2 linked regions of the Caenorhabditis elegans genome follow. The protein of the gene in region 2 interacts with the protein of the main gene of each other region in a biochemical or structural test. Each region holds a gene or a part of one and is shown on either strand. Other genes may lie near its edges.

What was found. The genes of interacting proteins can lie anywhere in the genome.
Region 1: the proteins of nlp-23 (region 2) and gnrr-3 interact in a test that uses a peptide from one of them, tested with the Caenorhabditis elegans proteins (one large-scale study listed by BioGRID).

The regions. Positions count from the first base shown.
Region 1 is NC_003284.9:10,046,693-10,053,409, forward strand, and holds gnrr-3 (G-protein coupled receptors family 1 profile domain-containing protein), read left to right. Parts: upstream 1-2,767; coding exon 2,768-2,898; intron 2,899-3,297; coding exon 3,298-3,431; intron 3,432-3,472; coding exon 3,473-3,575; intron 3,576-3,624; coding exon 3,625-3,784; intron 3,785-3,839; coding exon 3,840-3,983; intron 3,984-4,668; coding exon 4,669-4,773; intron 4,774-4,823; coding exon 4,824-4,915; intron 4,916-4,967; coding exon 4,968-5,058; intron 5,059-5,561; coding exon 5,562-5,789; downstream 5,790-6,717. Other genes in the region: ZC374.2 (Fibronectin type-III domain-containing protein), read right to left, coding at 62-189, 480-621.
Region 2 is NC_003284.9:2,341,157-2,345,154, reverse strand, and holds nlp-23 (Neuropeptide-Like Protein), read left to right. Parts: upstream 1-2,195; 5' UTR 2,196-2,216; coding exon 2,217-2,291; intron 2,292-2,358; coding exon 2,359-2,697; 3' UTR 2,698-2,764; downstream 2,765-3,998. Other genes in the region: nlp-2 (Neuropeptide-Like Protein), read left to right, coding at 470-559, 617-798, 853-1,096; nlp-22 (Neuropeptide-Like Protein), read left to right, coding at 3,091-3,174, 3,572-3,796.

The sequences.
Region 1 (6,717 bases), 7.7 Mb from region 2:
CACATTGAATTACATTTTTATTTTTAAGTGGATATCATATTTTTTCCAAAATTAAATCTACCTGAATGTGAACACTATCGCCGTCATTGTAGATTCCCAAAGGGATTCGAACACTTGATTCTCCAGTTTTTACATATTTCCAAGCCGCTTGTTCTGATTCAGATTTATGGCGAACTGTGTACATTGTATCTGAAAACTAGGTTTTGTTTGTTTGTTCTCACAAAAATGCTGAATTGTTCAAATTTTATCAGTTATTTTATCGGAAGTGATAAGAAAATTTGAAAAGAAAAAATCAATGCTTTGGAGATTCATTTCATTGACAAGCTTAACTCGGAACGCTTAAATTATCATATCTAAAGATATTGTACATACTTACTCAACTTCTGAAAAAACTGCCTCCACTTTCCACATTAGGGAAGCAATTGAAGAAAGGTTTCTAAAGTCTTATGTCCTAACTTATTGCAAAAAATTGTTCTTACTTTGTGATTGCGATCCTGATTGCCATTCCACGTAGATAATATCTAATTCTGGCACAATTCGTGCTTTCGGCTCTCGAACCACCGAGATTGGCTGAGATACTGTGAGGTACAAAAATAGAAGTGGTAAAAGTATAGGTTTCATGGTGGAAACACGCAGTTTGAGCGGCAGGGGTAAGAAGAAGCGAAGGTAGTAATGAAAGTGCGACGACAAGGGCAAACACGAGCCGCCCTGGTCAGCGGTATCTCGAAATGATACATTGCAATACGCAACTGGCCATTCAAAATGTAATATCTGAGAGTTTGTGAAGGATAAGTGTCACTCTTCGGACACAAATTACAGCGGATTTCAAACTTTAAACCAGGAGTGAAAGAGAATAGGATTGTTGGAAACGGTTGATTTTGAATTTGTGATTAGATGATTCGCTTATCTCCGAAGTTTGAGTTTTAAACTCCAAGCTCAATGAATTAAGAAAAAGGTTCGGATGGTTGACCGAACATCAAATTGTGAAGAAAGGGGTAAAGGTCAAAAGTTAGAAAGTTGAACTCTAGTGGTTTAAAATATTAAATCAAAAGGAAGAGAACAATGGGTTAGGGTTCTCGGTTGAAATGGAACACACATTTTCTTTGGTTACATCTATATCTGTATTCAACAATCTCTGGTACATGTGTTTTTTGTCGTGCATTTTAGTATGAAATATCAATCGAAATGAACAAAATTTGACAAATGAATGAAAATATAACTGCGAAGGCCGGTCGGCGTGAGGCCGGCGTGAGGCGCCGCCGCCGCGCCGCTCTCACATGGAAGCCCTACTTTATTCACTTCGATCTTTTTATAGTGTTTTAAATACTTTCCAATTTGAGAAACACGGAACATTTCTGAGAAAATCGTAAATCTTATGAGTTTTCTGGGTGGATTACTTATTGGAAACCAAGACTGCCAAATGGGTTTTTGAATGTTCTCAAAAACTGTCGGTTTTTGCCATTAGGATTAAAAGCGGGAGAAACGAGCTCTCAGAACTTATACGTTTCTCTAGTTTCTTTTTCCGTTCCACTTACTCGTACTCATAAATATGATGTAGTTTTCAAATGGTTTCTAGAACCAAATACATCACGAAAATGTATATTTCTAATTTCCTACAATGCGATGTTGCGGGTCGTTGTTTTTTCATAAGAGAGATTTCATTCAGTTCGTTAGTAGTTCCACTTTTAATTTGATACTTTGTTTGTAATGTAATTTTTAACGATGATCAAGTTTTTTTCAACGATCATTAATATGTTTGTAATCACAACATTACACATTTCCGAATACTGTGCTAGCAATTAATAGATGCACAAATGGTTTTTGCTGTGAAAAAATTCTGTCCAATAGGATTTGTTTCAAGTTTTTTTTTTTAACTTTGATTATTGTTAACCATTTTACTTTGATTCCTGCAGTTGCTAATTCTCCAAATAGATTTTATGTCGGTTTTATTGAAAATTTAAGAAGTAATAATAATAATAAATATTATATTTTTAAATTACCGTTGTCGGTACTTGTTGAGATAACCAATACTGTAAAATTATGAATGCGATGGCAAATTGAATAAGCATTTTTGCATCTGGACATTTAAATACTGCATTTTGTTGGTTTTTTTTAAACATTTGCATGACTGAGTCTCAGCAAGATCTTTCAAATGTTTTTCCTTTGGTATTTTCCAAAGCAACTTTCAAACATTTCTAATTTTTTGAAAAACTATATTTTTTCTCAGTTGTGATTTCACCACAGGTTCAAAAGTTTACATCAGACTGGAAAGCTCCAAATATTGTTGTTTATAAAGAAAAATACTTTTCATCGACGATAATTGCAGTTTTCACGCCAATATTGCTATGTCTGCCTAAAGCTAACATATTTGTAAAGCAAAACTACGCCGGTTGATTCTGACAATCCTTTGGATTCAAATAGTTTCTGGAGTTATTCTCTTGTTTTCACACTTTTCTATGTTTTTCGTTTAACACTCCAGCCACCGTATCATTTAGCAGTAGTAACATCTGTCATGGCATCGTATTATTTACCAGCTCGATGAATACTACATATTTCTTCGCAAAAATGAAAAAAAAAAACGCAATTTTGTATGCCGAAAGTGGTAGTTTGTATAATCAAGCCCCTCCTATCTCGGTTTTCGTTTTACCACATCTCACTCATTTCTCATTTCCGGACAGTCACCAGCAAAGACACCTCACTTCTTTTTGCTAGTTTTTTTTCATTACTTACACTATACTACAATTCCAATTGTGAAACTTTTCAGAAAATGAACAACTCAACATCGGATACGTTTGTCATGATGCATTCGACTTCAGAAGTTATCGAAATGTTTTACCAGCTTGCATTTTTCATAATTGGTACTCCAATCAATATTTTTGCTTTTGTCAAAACAAGTCGGTAAGTGTTGCTAGAGCTAATACTCTTCTAACACTATAAAAGTAATAATAGCTAATTTCACATTTTGCAAATGGTTTGTCAGTTAAACTAATCTTATGTTAGTTCTGCATGCAAGACTAATTTTTATTAGTCTTAAGCACTGCAATATTAATAGAGAGAGCTGCAAGGCTATTTTCCAAGAAACCGGGGGGTTTTAAGTAATTGCAGATCCTTTTTGCATACTCGACTATCCGTGATTTAAAATTCGAACGATAAACAGTTTACTGAAGTACCTGCATAACCTAAGCCGCGCATATAATTTATTCACGTGCCAAACTATTACAAAACTGATTAAAAATTACAGTCATCGTTTTGATGTTTATTTTTTGTTCATGTTTCTAATTTTATTTGTATATTCAGAAATGTTCGAGAAGGAGGCGTGGAGTCCAGACTGGTCAAGCTTAGTCGACAGCTACTTATTGCCCACATAATGGTTCTTTTTATGTACGGGATCTGGAGAAGTTATTGGATATATAATATCGTCTGGACTCAAGGTGTAGATAATCATTTGAATAATAATTTTATTGTTTTTTAGGAGACATTATGTGTCGAGTATTCAGTTTTCTTTGTGCTCTGCCTTTTCATCTTTGGTCGAACATGGTAGCAGCTATTGCAATTGACATGCTTTGCTGTATTACGTAAGTACTCTATATCGGAATCACTGACTTATATAGTTTTTTTTTTCAGATCTCCACTGAGCAGCTATCGAACAGGGGCAAACCGAGTTAATTGGCTTATTACTCTTGCGTGGGGCTTTGCAGTTGTATGTGCATCACCAATGAGCATTCTGCGTGGAACCATTCAGATCAACGATGAAGATATGTATCAATGCTACCCAAGAACTGATGTATGTCAATTTCCTGTAATATCTAAACGAATTCTGTTAACATATAACGTTTCAGGTATTCAATGATGATGTGTTAATTGCATTCAACCTGTTTCATGTCATAACTTCGTTTTACATTCCATTGTTGATTGTTATCATATGCTATTTGGCTATCGGGGTATCGATACGGAAACAAATGGCGGAACGTCGTTTATTACAGGTATAATGCAATTTTGAAAATCTAACTTTTCAAGTGGAGGAGCCTAAGTTACGGAAATGTTGAAAACTAAGGATACATTCTCGATGAAATTCTGAGAAGCCAAAATTGTTCTACTTTTTTACTTCACCAAAACTTTCAGTGAAAAAATTCAACTTTTTTAACATTTTCTGGCTTATAAATTTTATAAATTTTAAAAATGGAAGCTGAACTCTTAAGTGCTTTAAAAAATGTGGAAACGTAACTCATGAGTGACTAACTTGTTATAGACAGTCTTATTTTTTTCCAGTGATCTTATGATCTGTATGATCTAAATATATCTGAAAACAGAAATTCATTTTTGGGTATAGAATGACTATTAATAACATTTTTGATTTGGTTACTGGAATAACACATCAATTGTATCCTTGAGAAAAGAAAAAAAATTTAACAAACAATTATCTGCTTGAAATCATCACACCTGGTATTTTCTAATGACAAAATAGTTATTTTATTCGGTGTAAGCAGATTAAAGCAAACAAATATGTATCACTGATGATTTTTTGTTGTGAAATTATGCAAAAACAGTTACACTAAAAACCAACAAATAATCAAATTAAAAATTGGAAAAATAAATTCATACAATTAACTTCATTTATTTTTCCAATTCGATACACGTAACAATTAAAAAACATAAACATATTTGTAGGACGGAGGACAAAGTGGACAAAAAACGAACAACACGAAAGCAAGATTTCTCAGAGCTTCTGTGGCAATTATTTGTACGTTCCTGTTCACATGGCTTCCATATCAAGTAGGCAAACTTGAAGTATCGTTTCAGTTATAGATACCGTGAATTTTAAGGTTTTGGCTCTTCTTCGAATTGTCTGTGTTTCTGAAAATTGCCAGGAAATTGTGAGCAAACTGAATTGGTTACAGGCAATTATTATAGCAAGGTATTCAGGAAAAAACATTCATTAATAGTTTTCCCTAATTGTTCTTATTTAGCACGTGCATCAATCCATTCCTATATCGTTTTGGCACTGAGCCAAAAAGAAACTCGTATTACTGCAGTACTATGGACACTGCTGGTAAGGAGGTATGCATGACGGTCAAGTGTTTTTCTTCTCTTTACCTCCGACACTCTCTCACTTCAAAAGCCCTTATCTAATCACGTGGTTAATTTCAACTCCCCTTCTGGAAACCGGTTATTTTCTATAACAAAATTTATCAAACTGCACGTATTTACGTCTTTTATCATTTGAGATAGAGTTCATGATATTCTCAAATTGATCAACCAATTTATGATGAGATGGCGTCAGTTGTCGAAATGGCGTCATACAAAAAGAGACTAGAAACACAGCTTATTAATTTGTGAACGTTCACATTTCAATTAAAGTGACCTTCTTCTCCTAAAAAATTTTTTTAGATTAAGTTTGCAGTAAATCCCCGCAGGTGGTGTGATTTTAGAACTAGACATTGTTAATTACACTATCACACCGTCTATCTTCTAATCACATTTCTCTTTTTCTTGCAACAACGACCTGTTCCACCACCACCTAGAACTACATTTTTCGCATCTTGATCAGCATCACTTTGCAGGAAGTCGGTCTATCCGCCGATCGACGACGGTCCGGGAAGCCGAGGCCCAGCGGATTGTTGCCGCAGCAAATCGCGCACACCGAGAACAAAACTCCTCCCAAGTGTCGCCTCGAGGTACACGCGCCACGGTTCGAGAACAGACGCGCGTCGCAAATCGACTCAAAAACACCAAAAGTAATGAGGTTTAGATGCACCGGATCACTTGACGGAAAAGCTGGCAGATGCTGAGGAATGACCATCAATTTGAAATATTTCGTGTATATTTTTATGTAACAAACTGGAACTTCTGATCGTTGAAAAACTTTTGTCGAACCAACAATGCGAAGATGTACATTATGTGATGTAGCACATTCCTCTGTTTTCAAGAATAATCCCTTCTGAGAAAAATTAATTTATGGTAATAAAACTGAGTGTGCTCTTTTGAAAGTGTTGTTGCATTTTTTGGGAGAAAGTTATGGATGTTAAAAAAAAAACAATTCCTATTCGTAAAATATCTTCTCGTGAAAATTTTTGGAATCTGGCCCAAATGCATGGTAGTACACTTTGCATATTGAAGCCATATAAAATTCATCTTTCAAACTAAAAACTTTCGGAAAAACGGTGAATCTCAAGGAAATAAATATTTTATTTGTTCCCGAGAAAACTATAAAATCTTACAGATCAAATGAAATTTTTTGATCATTTTCTGTTCCGGTTTGTTTCTTTTTTGCAATCCCCTTCTTTTGTTGTTTGACCTGTGTTTTCCCAAATTCCCATCCAGACACCACACTACATACAAATAACTGCAATAAATCTTGCCACAGCACTATAATCTAATTGCTCGTTGTTGCAGTAGTAATATACCTGTCTAGAGGTTACTCTTCTTTCCAACACCTGTCCTTGCCTTTTTATTGTACACTCTGCTCTCTGTCTGCACTCCCATTCTTTTTCGTTCATCTCTCCCTGGCTCTTTTTTTTTCTCATCATTTCATTTTTGTCTGGGTTGTTTAGGAAATGATACACGCATAACCCTTGTCAGATCTTGAATCATCGTGATCTCTTCATTTTTTTTCTTCATGAATCGTGTTGTTTCTATCACCTTATGCCAACAATTATTGTATCTACAATTATAGTTTCAATAAAACTATCAACATTCATAGCAGTGATTGTTTCTAAA
Region 2 (3,998 bases):
GCAACATTTCGAATAGCAGACTTCCAATACTGTACAGATTTGTACTATGCTTCTAATTTCTGTTTGCTCTGCAGTTTCATAGCTGTTACCTTGAATCAAATCGGTTCCGCACTATGAGCACTATTCAAAAATTGTGACCATTTTCCCCATCTCTTCCAATTTCTGACCAACGTCATTTTGAATACAGAACCAATCACGCAACTCGCCCACCCGCTCGGCTCGATACACCTCAGTTTTTCTTCCCATTCTCTCCCCCCATTTCGCCTGATTCGCGTCTTGCCGCATTCTCGTTATCAATATTCCCACTGGTACTTTATATTGTTATAACTCCGCCCCGTATATATTATGAAAGCCGTATAAATTTGGATAAGCATCTACTGTAATCTTCATTGTTTTCAGCTCTCTCTCTCTCTCCCGAGCTCTTTCTTCGGTTTCACTTATTCTCGCTCAGCTCCCAACAACGCGAGAAATGCGAGCAACCCTCGTGCTTTTTGCTTTGCTCTGCGCAGTTTATTCTGAAGCAGTTCCGCTTCAGGTCTATCGTCCTGACGAATCATCGGTTAGTGGATCTTTGCCAGTAGCATCTGTACTGGTTTCTACTTTGAAAGTTTTTCAGGCTGTCGATGTGGTTGTCCTTGAGAACTCTCCCGAACTGTACGACTCTGAAGATGAAGATGAATGGAAACAAGAGGAAGAGTTCACTGAAGGAGCAATGGGCAAACGAAGCATTGCTCTCGGACGAAGCGGATTCCGCCCTGGAAAACGGAGCATGGACAACTTTCACACTGTGGATGTTAGGTAACTTTGAAGCCTCGTTTGGCTTGTGCAAAACAAAACCTGCTGATTTTCCAGTGATCTCATCATGAAACGATCAATGGCAATGGGAAGATTGGGACTGCGTCCGGGCAAGCGTTCAATGGCCTACGGCAGACAAGGATTCCGGCCGGGAAAGAGATCCATGGCATATGGACGGCAAGGATTCCGGCCAGGAAAGCGCTCAATGGCCTACGGTCGTCAAGGATTCCGGCCAGGAAAGAGAAGCAATGACATGAAGGAGGTCTTCCCACAACACGTTCCAGAAATCTATATAATCTAGAGAACCTGCTCCGACTAATTTGAATCGATCTCTTTGTAATATTCACCGTCATCATCACTGATACTTTATGTACAAACACAGCCAGATTACCGGAATGAAATCGTGTTCTGTTTTTTAGAGTTTTTTAGAGCCCAGTTTCAGAGAGTAATGGTTCGGAAAGAAGTTTCAGACAGGGTGAATATGAATCACAAACTATTTTGATCGGGGATTTTATGCAATATAAAGTCAGATTTACTAATATAACATGTAGGTCAGTTCAAAAAATTTTGTTGAAATCAATTTGTTGAGCCATGTGTCCACTACCAGTGTGCCAAGTTTGAAGGCACGTATGGGTCCGATTAAAATTTGCTCTTTTTCTTTTAGCCTTCCAAAAAATTGTCTCCATACAATTGAATAAATTCTATATGTAATCGCACTGACAATATTGAAACCTTTTTTTTTTCAAAAATTTTCAAAAATTCAAAAAATGCAAAAACTCACTGCCTACTGTTATTCAAAACTGTACTAAATGTATGCCGGTTCGCAATTTTTTTTTGTGTAAGCTGAATTAAAAAATTCTCAGAGGGGTACCCTGTTGTTTTGATCGATGTTCAGCTCATTATGGAAACGTTTTTTTTTCTAGTTGGAAAAACATCAGTGACGTGGGATAGTATCATCTTCAGCTCGTCGTCAGTAAATTGTTAAGAAAAAAAATATTTTGAAGGGAAATCAGATTGTCCAATTCCAAAATTAAATTATAATTAGCCGCCTATAAAACCCAAATCTGTGGCAATTTTTCCGCAGTTCTTCCAGGCTTTTCCGCATTTGACCTTTTTATCACTGATGAGGAGGTATTGGAATTTTGAATGTATGTACCCAAAATGTGCTCAGATGAGCAAATTTCTAAACTTCTCAAAAAAAATTGTTTTTAGTTCCTAGATACACCTATAGTCGTTGTATTCTATTGTAGAAGTGTAGTCCCTTTACGAAATCGTTAAAAAACTCGTAAAAATCCGATCCTCCAAAATATCGTAGTGTCAGTTTTCCGGACTACAAGACCACGTTTTCTTAATAGGTGCTATAAAAAGAAAGACGAGCAGAAGGATGTCCTCAGTCCCACCTGATATCACTTTCAAAGTCAATGGCAGCTCACCTCGTCATTTGGATGGCACTTCTTGGAGTCTCAGCTCATGCTTTGGAGCTGGGTTTTTACTCGGTGAGCTCATATGAACTGAGCTACTTATTTTATCATTTTATGTAATTGTAGCAAATGAACATTTCAGGAACATCCAACGTCTAAAGATGATTCCTACGAATCCCAACTTTTAGATTCTAATGACCTAGACCAAGATGATGCTGTCGACTTGGCGACCCCTATGATTGTTATCCCAAACGACGAAGATGAGATCTATGCCGATGAAGAACCGGAGCCACTAACTATGGAGAAGCGTCTTTATATCAGTCGTCAAGGATTCCGGCCAGCAAAGCGATCAATGGCAATTGGCAGAGCTGGAATGCGCCCAGGGAAGCGTGCATTTGCAGCTGGATGGAACCGCGGAAAGCGATCAATGCCATTTGCAGAGAGCTATTATCCTCTTTACCGCAATGATTTCTCGGAGTAAATAATTTTTGGAATTTCTACAAACATTAATTTTTACTTGTGAATCAAATAAAGTATCTGTATGAAATGATAGCAAAGACATGAGTAATCATCACTGATCACTAGAATAAGGAACTTTTATCATTCTAATTTGAAACCCACGTTTCCAGAGAACAAATCATTGTGGGTGTAAAGCAGTAGTTTTTGTGCAATTTTTCGCATGTTACTTTATGAGTTCACAAAACCGAGAGCAACGTTTTCCAAAAAAAACATTCACCGGTTCCGGTCGTTTAACCGTTTTGCTCCGCCTTAGATGTAACAGAGCAAAAAGCATATAAATTCTGGCCGATCGAGTTGTGCTCACTATACCCCCGTTTTTTATTCTTTTTTATTCTCGAACTTTCCCAACTCGGAAATGCGTTCCATAATCGTCTTCATCGGATTGACGATCTTCGCGTTGGACATTCTTCTGGTCCAGACCTCAGCTCTTGGGCTTCAGGTTAGCTTTACACAATGTTAAAGGAAAAGGGTACCGATCAAATTGTGTTTACGACGGTTCAAATTTTCGAAAAAAGACCTAGATGTGTTTGTTTGTAAATTAGCCTTAAATCCCCAAAAATTTTTTTTTTTTATTATTGACTCAATTTGCACATTTACATCGTTTTTTTAAGTTTAAAATTTCAAGCGGATAGGCAACCAATAGGTTACAAAATTTCAATTTCCGTCCGAATTAGGCCATTTTTATGCGAAAATTTTGAACCGCCACAAAAAAATATTGAAAAACTTTCGCGAAAGTTTATTAAAAAATTCATTCATTTGAGGATATTTTGAAAGTATAAGTTCAAAAATTCCCAAAATCGAGTTCCTTCAAATGGCAACAAGCACCGTAATTTCAGGGTGGAATCGATGTCTTCCGCGGATTAGGAGTTGTCGATCAAGTCGATTTCAATCAGATCCTTCACCGAGCAAACTACCTGCGCAACACTCGTGAGGGGCGCTTGCGCTATTGGAGACTCCGAACCCTTCCAATCATGAAAAAGTCGATTGCGATTGGGCGAGCCGGATTCCGTCCAGGGAAACGAACAACGGACGAACTAACTGGATTCCCAATCGGAGTATGAATTTTCTGATGTTAATTGTTAACCGGATCATTCCGATATGTTTAACGCTACACCAATTATTTCGTATTTTGCATTGTTTTCATTTATCTGTCTAATTATTCTCAATAAACAAAACTGTTAACTTGAGATTTTTTCTTTAAAACTTCGTTTCAAAAATGCCATTTTTTCTGCAGAAGCTAATAAAGAAGGCTATGAAAAAAGT